Arabidopsis thaliana: one gene and its partner. The protein of the gene in region 1 interacts with the protein of each later gene in a pairwise test. Each region holds a gene or a part of one and is shown in the gene's direction. Other genes may lie near its edges.

What was found. The genes of interacting proteins can lie anywhere in the genome.
Region 2: the proteins of AHL1 (region 1) and AT5G10980 interact in a two-hybrid assay, tested with the Arabidopsis thaliana proteins (one large-scale study listed by BioGRID).

Annotation. Positions count from the first base shown.
Region 1 is NC_003075.7:7,236,374-7,243,570, forward strand, and holds AHL1 (AT-hook motif nuclear-localized protein 1), read left to right. Parts: upstream 1-2,826; 5' UTR 2,827-3,092; coding exon 3,093-3,567; intron 3,568-4,031; coding exon 4,032-4,099; intron 4,100-4,191; coding exon 4,192-4,323; intron 4,324-4,399; coding exon 4,400-4,561; intron 4,562-4,639; coding exon 4,640-4,873; 3' UTR 4,874-5,302; downstream 5,303-7,197. Other genes in the region: AT4G12090 (Cornichon family protein), read right to left, coding at 5,792-5,822, 5,926-6,048, 6,175-6,356, 6,480-6,551. UniProt on the Arabidopsis thaliana protein: Transcription factor that specifically binds AT-rich DNA sequences related to the nuclear matrix attachment regions (MARs). May play a function in the positioning of chromatin fibers within the nucleus.
Region 2 is NC_003076.8:3,471,131-3,476,912, reverse strand, and holds AT5G10980 (Histone superfamily protein), read left to right. Parts: upstream 1-3,342; 5' UTR 3,343-3,563; coding exon 3,564-3,635; intron 3,636-3,893; coding exon 3,894-4,061; intron 4,062-4,151; coding exon 4,152-4,322; 3' UTR 4,323-4,508; downstream 4,509-5,782. Other genes in the region: AT5G10990 (SAUR-like auxin-responsive protein family), read right to left, coding at 1-29. UniProt on the Arabidopsis thaliana protein: Variant histone H3 which replaces conventional H3 in a wide range of nucleosomes in active genes. Constitutes the predominant form of histone H3 in non-dividing cells and is incorporated into chromatin independently of DNA synthesis.

The DNA of each region.
Region 1 (7,197 bases):
TTACAAAATTGAATGGTGTAAGATAGAAATTTGTTTTTTTTTTTTCTTTTCTAGATACTAAATGAAATATAGAATAATGGTCGGTTACTTTTTAGAATTCAAATATCATTGATAAGATTGAGTGTATATAATTAAAATAAAATGCATAAGACTGAAATTTTGTTTAAACCAAAAATTATTAAATTAAAGATCAGAAAAATATATAGATTGGTATACAATATTCAAATATTATCGATAAAAAAATATTTTTCTATCTTACACCCGTCTAAATAGGCGGACCTTATCTAGTATATATATATATATATATATATTTTGTAAACGATTGAGTAAAAAATGTTTGGAAAAATAAAATGAGTGACTTAAAAATGATTAGAATTGTTTTAATTCCTGATAGAGTTAGAGAAGATTTATACTTACCAAAACAAAAGTTAAAGAACATTTCTTATTTGGAAATATTTTTCCAGATTATCACCAAGTTTAAAACTATTTTTATAATAATATAATTTTAAAGAAAAAAACGAGTCTTCTCCATCTGAATGGCTGTGTTTCTCAATGTATTTGGACGAATTAGAGAACGATAAAAAAATATTCACAGATTTTTTAAAAATATTGAATCTCTTATAACGTAAATGTTAAAGCGGATAATTTGACAAGAAAGGTTCATATCCAACCGCATTATATCATATATGTAAACAAAATTGCTCAGAAATGACTATATTAAACTCTAACTAATATCGGTTGACAACAAAATAATCAAGTACTTGATTCCATCAATTGAAAATTTAAGATTTTGATTTAAACATTAAAGTAGAAAATCTAAATAGAATTAAAATAAATACTTATAAAGTTATAATGTAAACTTCTTTTGCTTTCTGATTTTAAATGGGCTCAGTCAAATCTTAATAATATTTATCTTTTCCAAGAGCTGTATAATGATACCAAGTTAGGTCAGAATGCCGACCACAATTATAAATGAAAATTTTCTAAATGTAAAAGCCATGTGAAATCAATATTTTACTCCATTTCTTTTTAAAAGAGAATAAAATAAAATAAAGTCGCGGAGGAAATGCACATCGAGCACATCACTCTAATTATTTTATTTAACAGAAAAGACTTATTTAAACATGGTAATGAAAAGAAAACATTAGACGATTAATATATGGTTCGTTCTTATCTAAACTCTGGTTATTTTATTAATCTTCATTTTTCTGCGAATTAGATTTGGATTTCTATTGGTCAATGACTCGATGCTTGGTGGTCCCAAATAAAATTGTATTAAAATAATTTTACGATTCATGATTGCTTCCATTTCCTGTAATTTAATTAAAATTTGTGTTCATCAAATATTTTATACAGATTGAGAGAATTAAATGAACTTTCATTATATTATTATTAGCTAAAAGAGCCAGAAAAAAAAAAACTGAAAAGAAAAGAATATCTAGAAATTGATTTTAGTAGGTCAACATTATTTATATTTAAGTAATCTAAAACTTGTAACTGAAAAACTACGGATTAGAGTTTATTACTGCTGTTTTCAAATGGGCATAAATTAGTTGGGTAAGCTATAATTGTGACGAAGACTTTGGGAAATGTAAAAGGAAAGAAATGAATGTAAAGCAAACACAAAACAATACTCCAACTAATTAAAAGGGTTTGCAAAATAAAAGCCCTTCGGATTTCCACAAATACACGAAAGAATATAAAATGGTACTGTAGTAAATTCTAACAATCAGATTGGAATTCAATTTTCAGAAAACAATTTTATCGAATTAAGTGTTTAAGCACCCACCAAGTATTCCATTTAATTACTAATTTGTTAGTACCATTTTTTTTGTTATGCACCAAATTAATTACAAAACTCTATAATCATCGACACAGTCGACCTGGTGATCTACAAAACTTTAACTTTTATTCCGGTATAGGTTTTAAAACATTGAGTAAAAGTGAACATGTATTAGGAGATTCATGTTCGTCGTAGATAAACTTGACCAACACTACATATTAGTATATTACCATCTCTTGACTCGTTACATGTTTAAACATTTCAATATACCTAGGTTTTTAACCCATCATCGATCACGTTTATGTCCTATTGTTTGTTCAGTGGAAAGAATTGGGCTCTATGTCTTACATTGAAAATTGAAAGAAATGGATAAATTGGGAGTTAGATTTAGATGTTGGTTCTTTTAAGTTATTATAGTTATGCGATTTAATACGTTTTTGCTGGCCTCATATATTGTTAGATGTTAAATTAATTTAAATTATTTCCATACTAAATGATTTATTTATCATTTTAGCAGCCTAGTTTTACTTGTCCTTTACTCCAAAGCCCGATTATTAATTAAGGAAAAAGTATTTTTCAACTGGAGAAATTGAATATTTATAAATAAAATAAAGCACACGTAAAGAAAATATATTTTATTATTTTTAAGAAAACAATATACGCAGGCCATCTTTGTCTTTCCCAAAAAAAATTTAATTGAATTTTGTATACCCACTTTAATTTTGTCTACTATACTATTTCTTATTTTATTATGTATATTTATTAATTCCCTCCCATCGGATTCCAGCTAAAAACACGAATATCTATATATTCCTAAATGAAAATTTAATATAAATCCAGTGCGAGCTATATTAAAATAATCACGCTATTAAAGATTTCCTTTTCGCATTATTGTATAAAAGTAAAAAAATGGACAGACATAAACAAATCTTACAATATAAAAAATCATTATATAAAAAGATAAAATACCTTATTTAATGACAAGATAAATAAACCATTTTTTATTTCTTCAATCTAATTCACAAAGCATAAATAAATCTAATTTCCTTCACTTTCCTCTCCAACATTTTCTTATTTTCCTTCCTAATTTCCAACCTCTGTTCTTAGCAATATATTTTTTCTCCAAAAATAATTCTCAGTTTGATTTTCTTCTTCTAGCTCTTAAGTATATTTCTTTGTTGTTATTTATCTTTTAATCCTTTAATCTCATCTTTGTTTATCTTTAATCAAAACCCAAAATTTACATGGGTTCTTGAAAATCTAGAAGAAATAAAGGAAACATAACAAAAATAGAAAGAAAAAGAAGCTAATGGTCTTAAATATGGAGTCTACCGGAGAAGCTGTTAGATCAACCACCGGTAACGACGGTGGTATTACGGTGGTTAGATCCGACGCGCCGTCAGATTTCCACGTAGCTCAAAGATCAGAAAGCTCAAACCAATCTCCCACCTCTGTCACTCCTCCTCCACCACAGCCATCGTCTCATCACACAGCTCCTCCGCCGCTGCAAATTTCGACGGTGACGACTACGACTACGACGGCCGCGATGGAAGGTATCTCCGGTGGACTGATGAAGAAGAAGCGTGGACGGCCAAGGAAGTATGGACCGGACGGGACTGTTGTAGCGTTATCTCCTAAACCGATTTCATCAGCGCCGGCGCCGTCGCATCTTCCGCCGCCGAGTTCACACGTCATCGATTTCTCCGCTTCTGAGAAACGTAGCAAAGTGAAACCAACGAACTCGTTTAACAGAACAAAGTATCATCACCAAGTTGAGAATTTGGGTAATTATATCTTCTTTGCTCTGTTTTCTTCTCTGTTTTTTAAGAAGAGTATTTAAGAAAGAACAAAAGATAAAACTATTTTTATCTTGTCGGAATCTTGTTTCGTAGACCAATCTAACTCTATTGACAAAAAAAAAAAAAAATTTGGGTCTGGGATCTCATTTTCATGCATGCTTAAGTAAGTGGGGTCTCTGTTTTGTTTCTATGTTTAATTTGTCTATGGTTATAGATGTGTCCTAAAGCTACAAGTATCTACACATATATGTCATGTTGTTAATTGTCACTTCTTAAATGCAATACTAAGCTTAATTTAGTAGCAGTTTTATAAGTTAAACATGTTGGTCAAAATTAGAGATTTTTGTTTTCTACTTGGCTACTTAAATTTAGGGACAACAAAGTACATGATTAGTCAATATTACAAATTAATTAATAAAAATGTTCCTCTTGTGTTCTGTTATGTGTAGGTGAATGGGCTCCTTGCTCCGTCGGTGGTAATTTCACACCTCATATAATCACAGTCAACACCGGCGAGGTAATCTCATCGGAATTTTTCTTTAGATCTAGACATCAAGTCCTTTTTTCTATCTTTTACAAGTTTTGAATGATGTATTTTGGCATAATTAGGATGTAACAATGAAGATAATCTCGTTTTCGCAACAAGGACCTCGCTCTATTTGTGTTCTGTCAGCAAACGGTGTTATTTCAAGCGTTACACTTCGTCAGCCAGATTCCTCTGGCGGCACATTGACATACGAAGTATGTAGATTTCATTCTCATCGATCGATCAAATTTTTGTTGAAAGTGTAAGATGATTTATAGTGTTAATTTTCAGGGTCGGTTTGAGATATTATCATTATCCGGGTCATTCATGCCTAATGATTCAGGCGGAACACGAAGTAGAACGGGAGGAATGAGTGTATCGTTAGCAAGTCCCGATGGACGTGTAGTAGGCGGTGGCCTCGCCGGTTTACTAGTAGCCGCGAGTCCGGTTCAGGTACGATATTTGCCAGTCCAAAAAGCTGCAAAGTTTGTTAACCGGAGGATTTAATTTCCTTGTGTTTGAAATCAACAGGTGGTTGTAGGAAGTTTTTTAGCGGGCACTGACCATCAAGATCAGAAACCGAAAAAGAACAAACATGATTTCATGTTGTCGAGTCCTACCGCTGCAATTCCTATCTCTAGTGCAGCTGATCACCGGACAATCCATTCGGTCTCGTCTCTTCCGGTCAATAATAATACATGGCAGACTTCTTTAGCTTCCGATCCAAGAAACAAGCATACCGATATTAATGTCAATGTAACTTGAAATCCAATCTTTCTCTGTATTTTCTGTTAACAAGTTTGATTTGGTTGTTTATCTACATTAGGATTTTACTAAAATGGTAGTATTATTTATAGGGTTTTAGGGTCTTTATTTTGGTTCCACTGTTGTCACTTGTAGGATAATTTCTATCTTTTTATTAGGATTGAATCATCTTGTTTCCTTAATTTTTTGCTAACGAGTCATGGTCCTGGTTTTGCATGTCATTGTAGTTTCATATCCGTGTAAAAGAATACAAATTAACCACACTTGACTTATCTGAACGCGTAACATGAAAGCTATGGAGACTAATTTTGGAGTTCTAGATTTCCATCTCTTAATGTACACCTAAGATGTTTCTTATGATGACACAAGAACCATTATCCCTGGAGAGAAAGAATCACTATCTCTATTTCGACAAACCATCAAAGATTCTATTGACATGATATCTACAACATCTATAGTTCGGTGCACACTGGACTTGCTTCACTTGTTTCAAGAGGCACAAGGTCATATAGGGAGATCTTAGCCTAGAACCTTAAAATCTAAGGATCAAGAGTTCCCAAACATGTTTCAAAACTATCATTCACACTTATCACAGAAACAAACCGTCGAGATTACTTCCGACTTTACCACTAATCTGACTTCAATTTCAATGTATCATACACAAGCTAGCTACCATAACGATATACAGGGATACTCACTACACAGCAAGTTTGTGAAAAAGTAATCTTTCATTGATGTGCATTAAATTTGTACTCAAAAAAATAAGAAAATATAACGTTTCTGAATATAGCCCATAACAAAAATGCTGAAACAGAAAAATGAAGAACTACATAAACATCTTCGTAGTCACCAAAATCCATTAGGAATTCGATCTTAAAATGTAAAATAAATTGATGTAGTCCGGTGGTTTCTCCAACCTTAGATGTCTCCTAATGCCGAGTGGATCAACCTTAAACCGAAAAGTATAGAGAAAAATAACAATTTGGATTTAGCTTCGTAAACAATGGAGATATGAAAATTAGTAGTGATATATATAAGAGAAAGAAATGTACCAATAGGTTGTGATAAAAATGGAGAGAGCTATATGACCAATCTTGTACACTCGTTTCTTTTGCTCCCATTTATTTGTGTTGTATAACTCTGTTACGTCTGCCAAATGTTCCCTCTTCATGTATCTTTAACCGGAAATAACGAAGAGACATTATCAAATTAAACCGAACTCGGTGAACCAAATTACCCGGTTGGTTTCGAGCAATGAACAAATGAATGAGTAAATTGTCTAATTTGAGTATTTGACTTACAGTCTAATGTTGTAGAAAAGGTGGGGAAGAGACAAAACCGCCATGAACCAATGTCCGGTTAGGATATAGTATAAGCAAAGAAGTCCTTGTAAACCAAATTCCGGTAGAACCATTCGGTTTATTCTGCTAGATACATCGTAAGGGTTTATGCGATCGAACTCTAAATCTGCCAAACATGTCAGCTGCATCAAAAACAAAAAAGCAAATATTCAAGAAAATTGCTAAGAGAATTATTTCTTTCTCTATGAATTGGTTTTAACCACAAAACTATATTAGGGAATTAATTATAAGTTAGGGCAAAAAACCTGATAAATAACGATGATTATAAGCGTTGCGAGGAATAAGAAAGAGATAATCCAATCGAGTAGATCGCCCATCCTCCGCTGTCTTCCGCCGCGTTACAACGTTCAATCTCCGCCTTGCTTTGTCTCTCTAACGTAGAAATACGGACGGTGTTTTTGGTCAAAGCTCTGGAAATTGTAGGTATATTTATCAGAAAATTATACGCAATATATAAGAGATTAATTTTTATAAAAACTATTAAAACCCCACTGGATCTGGTTGGATAAAAAGCTACTTATTTATTCATATGCAAATATGATATTCCCATTTAAAGCATATTCGGAAGTTTGACTTTGGCATGAAACTCTTAATCTTATTTGATATGGTTGACAAAAATATTTTTGTTTCTTTACGATGAAATGCTTTTCTATGCAAGTAACCAATCAATGATCGTGCCTATTGCCTATTGGTCAAAGAAATTACTATCTTTCATCCATAAGCTACTTATCAGTTAAAGTGTTAAATCTGCAGAAATAGAATCGATTCGAAATTCGGAAACCACCATCTTTTTTTTTTAATAAAGAAAACAAAGAAGCTAAAGTAATGTGAATACTACTCAAATTCAAATAGCTGCGAGTTTTTTTTATTCGTATGTAAGTAAACTCTATATCCAATGGTTTGGGTTTCATATAAAATTGCATATATTTCTTAGCATAATGTTTTTGGGCAGCTGGTGGTCTT
Region 2 (5,782 bases), on another chromosome or scaffold:
TTGCTACATTTTCCGATACCTCCAGCCATTTTTTCCGATTACAGAAGCTTTAACGTGTTGGTATTTCGTTAGACGAGAAAGTGTGAGAAACAGAGAAAATGTGAGGTAGAGAGTTTTTGGGAGGGGGGAGGTATATATAGTAAAGAGAGTAACATAATGCCCTTAGGATTTTGTGATAATTACGAGATTACCACATTGGTTCTTACTTTTGGCTTCTTGCGACGGATGAAACAGGAATAGTGTGTGATTATGAATTAGATTAATTTTATTCGGGAGATTAGTTTTAATTATTATGTTAACAGAGATATTAGATACGATTCTTAGATGAGGAAACATTAAAGATCTTGTGTGTTTTTTTCTTCTTGATGCATTGGATATGTCTGATTTATGATGGATTCGACATGTGAAATTTAGTGGTTGATTATTGGTTAATATAAAATCGTAGGTAGGTTTTTTATAATATGCTAATGAGAGACTATCATGGAAAAACATGATAAACTGGCAGTCATTAGAGACAAAAGAATTTGCTTAGAAATAATTGAATGAAATTGTCAATGATTAGTAATGTAATAAACTTATAATGGTTAGAAAAAAGTTGTCACGTATTGAAAAAAGGAGAAGTAATTTGTAGTATGTGGTAGGAAAATAATAGCATGTGCTAATGTAAACTAAAGAGTGTTGGACAAAAAGAGCAGTCATTGGAAATACTTTAACACCACATTGGGATTTAGAGACACATAAAAGAGGCATTCCTCTCTTTATTATTCATTATATGATATCAAAGTCTTATATCTTTAAATTATGTGTAGCTATTTCTCGTACCAAAATATGCAAGTTTCTATTCCTGCAGATCTCATATTGAGCAGCAAAACATTGGGTTTATAGGAGGCGACGTCAAATTTAAAAGCCCTAAACGATTCCATAATTGGGAACTTCATATAAGCCGGACATATCACGTCGAACAAAAGATCGCAAACAAATATTTGTATATACAATTTAATTTAAAGATATAAATGTTTAATGTTTCAACTTTCAAGATGTAAAAAAGTGTTATCAGTTAGTTCGTGGTCGTACATGCGAAGGAGTGGCTAGCTACAACCGCCGCTCTTGGGTCAAAGTTTTCAATTCTTCAAACTAAACACAAAAAAAAAATGTTCGAGAAAAAGTTAATATACAAATTTTGAATGAATACTAAATTATATCATTATAAGATTAGTATAATTTCAGCGCACGGAAGTGTGAGGTTTCTGGTTAGTTAATAAAATAAATGAAACCCACCACATGCATGCGTAGCAGGAATTGGAGGAAATGTACTTAAACAAATGTAATTTTAATTTTATACTATATAGTCAAAACATAATCGTCTGTTTTAAAGATTTTGTCACCAGAGGCAAATCAGTTTAATTTATTTTTTACAAATAAGTAAGTTTATTGCTATCAAAACAAAAGTATATTATAAGAGACGAACAATAATGTAATGCGGCGTACCAAAACACTAGTTTTTGTAGTTTACGAATGTGTCCACGCCGCCATGTGCGCTAACGTTTCATCTCCAACAAAGAACCCAAAATATTTCTCGTTTAATGTTTGGAGAAAATATAAACTTGATGATTGTCTCTCAATAGACTTGAATCTGATCGTCTCTCAAATTATACTTAACTCGTACATTTTTATGGGATAAAATATGGCCAATTACATAGAACCCACAATATTCCAGTAACTAAAAAAAACAATTATCCACTCTCACCTTAAAATAAAGTGTGGGAGTGATCCAGACAAATATCAAAAACAATGGTTGATCAATAATCCAAAGTTCCAAACCTCGACCACTTATCCATCCTACATATCACATAGTCTGCATGTGACGTGATTTGGTTATAATATTTGCTTAATATCAATTTACATCGTTTTTGTATATTGCAGTCAAGTTAATATATCAAAGGAAATATGAATTAAATGCAAAGGTAATAAAATATAGTATGTATTAAAACAAATAAACTTGGGTCAATCCAAGTGCATGTGGAAGCTTGGATACATTCCCCATGGCCATGGGTTACTTACTAACACTTACTTGTTGAGTTCTAAGGATCTTCTCGTTTGATTTTCTCTTCTTAAGCATATATATTTTCATTAATGCTGCTATGCAGCAATGAGTTTACAGTATAATTGTTATGTCCTGTGAATTCTTTTAAGTATATATTTTGGTAAACTAATATAAAAAGTACTAGAGATCGAATCCATTTAATGAATCGGCATCGGGCAGTCTGTTTCCGCCCTCTTGCACCATGTTCATACGTAGTGACTGAAACTGTGAGGTTTAATTGGGATCAATCACTAACTCTTGTTCTTACAAAATACTCAACTATCTCATCGATTACTATCTTTTGTGTAATGCCTTTTTCTGAACCAACAATATCCATCTAGTAAATATACACATAATATTAACTAGACAGATTATTATAGGTCTGTACTAGAATTTGCTCACCCCCTTAGGAAAAGAGAAAAACTTTGTTACCTAATTACATTTCATCAGAGAGATTAAATTACTTTATGTCGTTCTTAATTCTTATTTTAAAACACGTAAAACTTAAAACTGTATTTTGTGCATTCAAATTTAGGCTTCAATGGCCATAAGCAGAAGTGATAAACTTGAATAATGTTGGGTATTAAATATATATAGCTTTTTCCGTACAACTTTTGTATAGTACGTGAATTCGTTAACGTTCCACACTTACACTCCAATTCTTTTTAAAAGAAACCTTTTGTAAAGATCTATGATACATGTGGAGCAGGAAAACATATGTTCTGTTAAAAACTTGCATTTTCACGTTATAAAAGCCAATTAAGAATAGATTTAACTCAACACGATATCATGCATGAGCAACTTTTTGGTCGATCGGATTTTAGTTAAGAGTTGGGCTGGAATGTTTTCATGTTCTAATACCAAACCGAATTTTAATTATGATGAGGTTATAAACTTATAATTCAACCATGTCCATGTCATATATGTGATGGTTTTAACCCAACCAACTTGAAATCTCGGATCGGAGCGGCCGTACCAAATTTGGTTCGGATCGATATTCAGAACACAGCTGACGAACTCTCAATGCCTTATCAGTTGGGCCTGAACCCAACGCAGTACTCCTACCAAGGGATACGACTCGGCCCATCATCGCTAATTACCAAACATGTAGATCAAATCGTCATTACCTTTTTTCTAACCCAACTAAAATCGTGATTACTTCAAACGACAAACGTAGAAAAGAAACACAAAACTAGCCACGTCATCGATCCTCCCAAGATTAAACCAATCAGAAGCGAGGACGCAGATCGCCAACGTCAGTATTCGCTCTCATAAGTCGAATCTTGACCGTCGAAAATGTGAAGATTGGACCACTTCTGTATTTCCTAATATTAACCGACTAAAACATTCACCTATATAATCATAATCACCTTTTACTATTCCCACACAATCATCAAGAAAACAAAACTCGCTTCCTGATAATCAAATCAAAAGCTTCTCTATCAAGCTTATCGAAAAGTCACATCTTTTGGAAGAAACAATGGCTCGTACCAAGCAAACCGCTAGGAAATCCACCGGAGGTAAAGCTCCCAGGAAGCAGCTTGCCACCAAGGTTTGTCCTTCTATCTTTCATTCATACCGAAATAGTAGATCTAGGGTTCAAATTTGGGTTGAATAACGAGTTTTTGTGGACGAAATCTGAAAAATATGATCTAGGTTTTCTATATTGTGTTGAATTTTTAGTTTATGATCTAATTTAGTATGAATCTTGCGGTTTTGATTTTGTTTATGATGAAATTGGTTGGAAGGGGATCTAGGGTTTATCTAATTTGAGTATTCGATTGCGTCTCTAACGAATTCTTCAATACAGGCGGCGAGGAAATCAGCACCAACCACCGGAGGAGTCAAGAAGCCTCACCGTTACCGTCCAGGAACCGTCGCTCTTCGTGAGATTCGTAAGTACCAGAAGAGTACTGAATTGTTGATCCGCAAGCTTCCCTTCCAGCGTCTCGTTCGGGAAATAGCTCAGGACTTCAAGGTAAAATTTATACTCATTAGCGGCGGATTAAAACTTATCAATTAGGTTATGTTATGGAATTAGGTATACTAATTAGGTTAAATTTTGCAGACGGATCTGAGGTTTCAGAGTCACGCGGTGTTAGCTCTTCAAGAGGCGGCTGAGGCATACCTAGTTGGACTTTTCGAGGATACTAATCTCTGCGCTATTCACGCCAAGAGGGTTACGATCATGCCTAAGGACATTCAATTGGCTAGAAGAATTCGTGGAGAACGTGCTTAAGCTTTTATTTACCTAATTCAAGTTTAGATTTTTACGATGATGTATTAGTATTCTGGATTCTTGTTTCCTATCGCTCTTTTATTTGCTTACCAAGTACATGGTGTTAATTGTTGAACTTACAGCTCTTTTAAGCAAACAGTTATGAAATCTTTCCTTTCCGTTATTGGTTCTTGTTGATTTCTTTGCAAAATTCATTCACAAGTTGCACATAACCCAGAAAAAACTGACAATTTTGATACGAAGATGCATATGAATTTGATTGGATAGTGTGTATGAACGATTGGATAAAACCAACTTGCGATAAAGTTTAAATGTTGCCGCAAAATTCAGAATTATGCTCTTCTCTTTTTTTGAATTTAAAAGGCTTGTCGATGTCAATATGAGCTTCGTAACTTTGGTCTGAAAAACAGATAAGAAAGAGACATAAAAAAGCGTTTTTCTGTTTTAACAAAACAAATTACTTGGAGACAATATGGGCTACATTTTGTTTAAAATTTATTTATATGGGCCAGTTATTGGGCCTTTTAAAATTGTAGATTACATTTTCGTTAACTTGGTCATGTTCGAAAAACTCGGAGTCCTCACGTCAGCGCCGGCGAAATTCCGGTACTGCTCCGTCTTCTACGTGTATTGAAGGTGGGCGTTTCTTTAATAATGCCTGGTTTCTGTTCACAAGTCCAATGTATTTCTTAATTTCATTGAAATTTTACTGTGCCAATCATTGCGAATTCAAGTTGATTGTTGGTTCAGCTTTTTAAGTGTTTGCCGTAGAATTAATCGGATTATCAAAATGCTTGAATCTCCGAGCAAATGAAAAATGCTTTACTTAACTTTAGCTTTAAATATTCGTATCGTTTAGCAATGGTGTCAATTGCAAAATAAGAGAACACTGTAAAATTTCTCATTGCAATGAAAAGATGTCTTTTTTCTTATGGTCATTGCGTTGTAGGAGAAAACAGTGCATCATAAAGGATACGTTTTCACTTGCATTGATTAATTCTATTAATCTGCTGACATGTGGATGTAATTTGGTAGCAACCTGATACTGATCCATCAATATCGTTTTTTTCTTGCTGTGTGTTTCAGGAAAGTGTGACTGAGATTGAAGAGTATTGATGGGGTCAGAATTGTGGTATACATACAAGTAGATGAAAAATGGACCCAAGAGCTAATCAATGAGGTTTGGGTTCATTAGATTTTTATTCCACATGTGTTATTGTCTGCCTTGGTGTTTCTTCTTTGTTTTATTCATTAAGGTGTGTTTTCATTCCTTTTTTGGTTGCTTGTGGCCAATTTTGTATCTGAAAACAAACATGATGATCTGTCTTGTGCCTTATATGTTTACTGGGAAGAAAGTGTACATACTTCTACTTTGATTCTAGGTGAGGAGTTTGATAATCTGTATATTCAGATTCATATGCCAACATTTGGTATTGTCCAACGTTTGGTGTTGAGTGTAA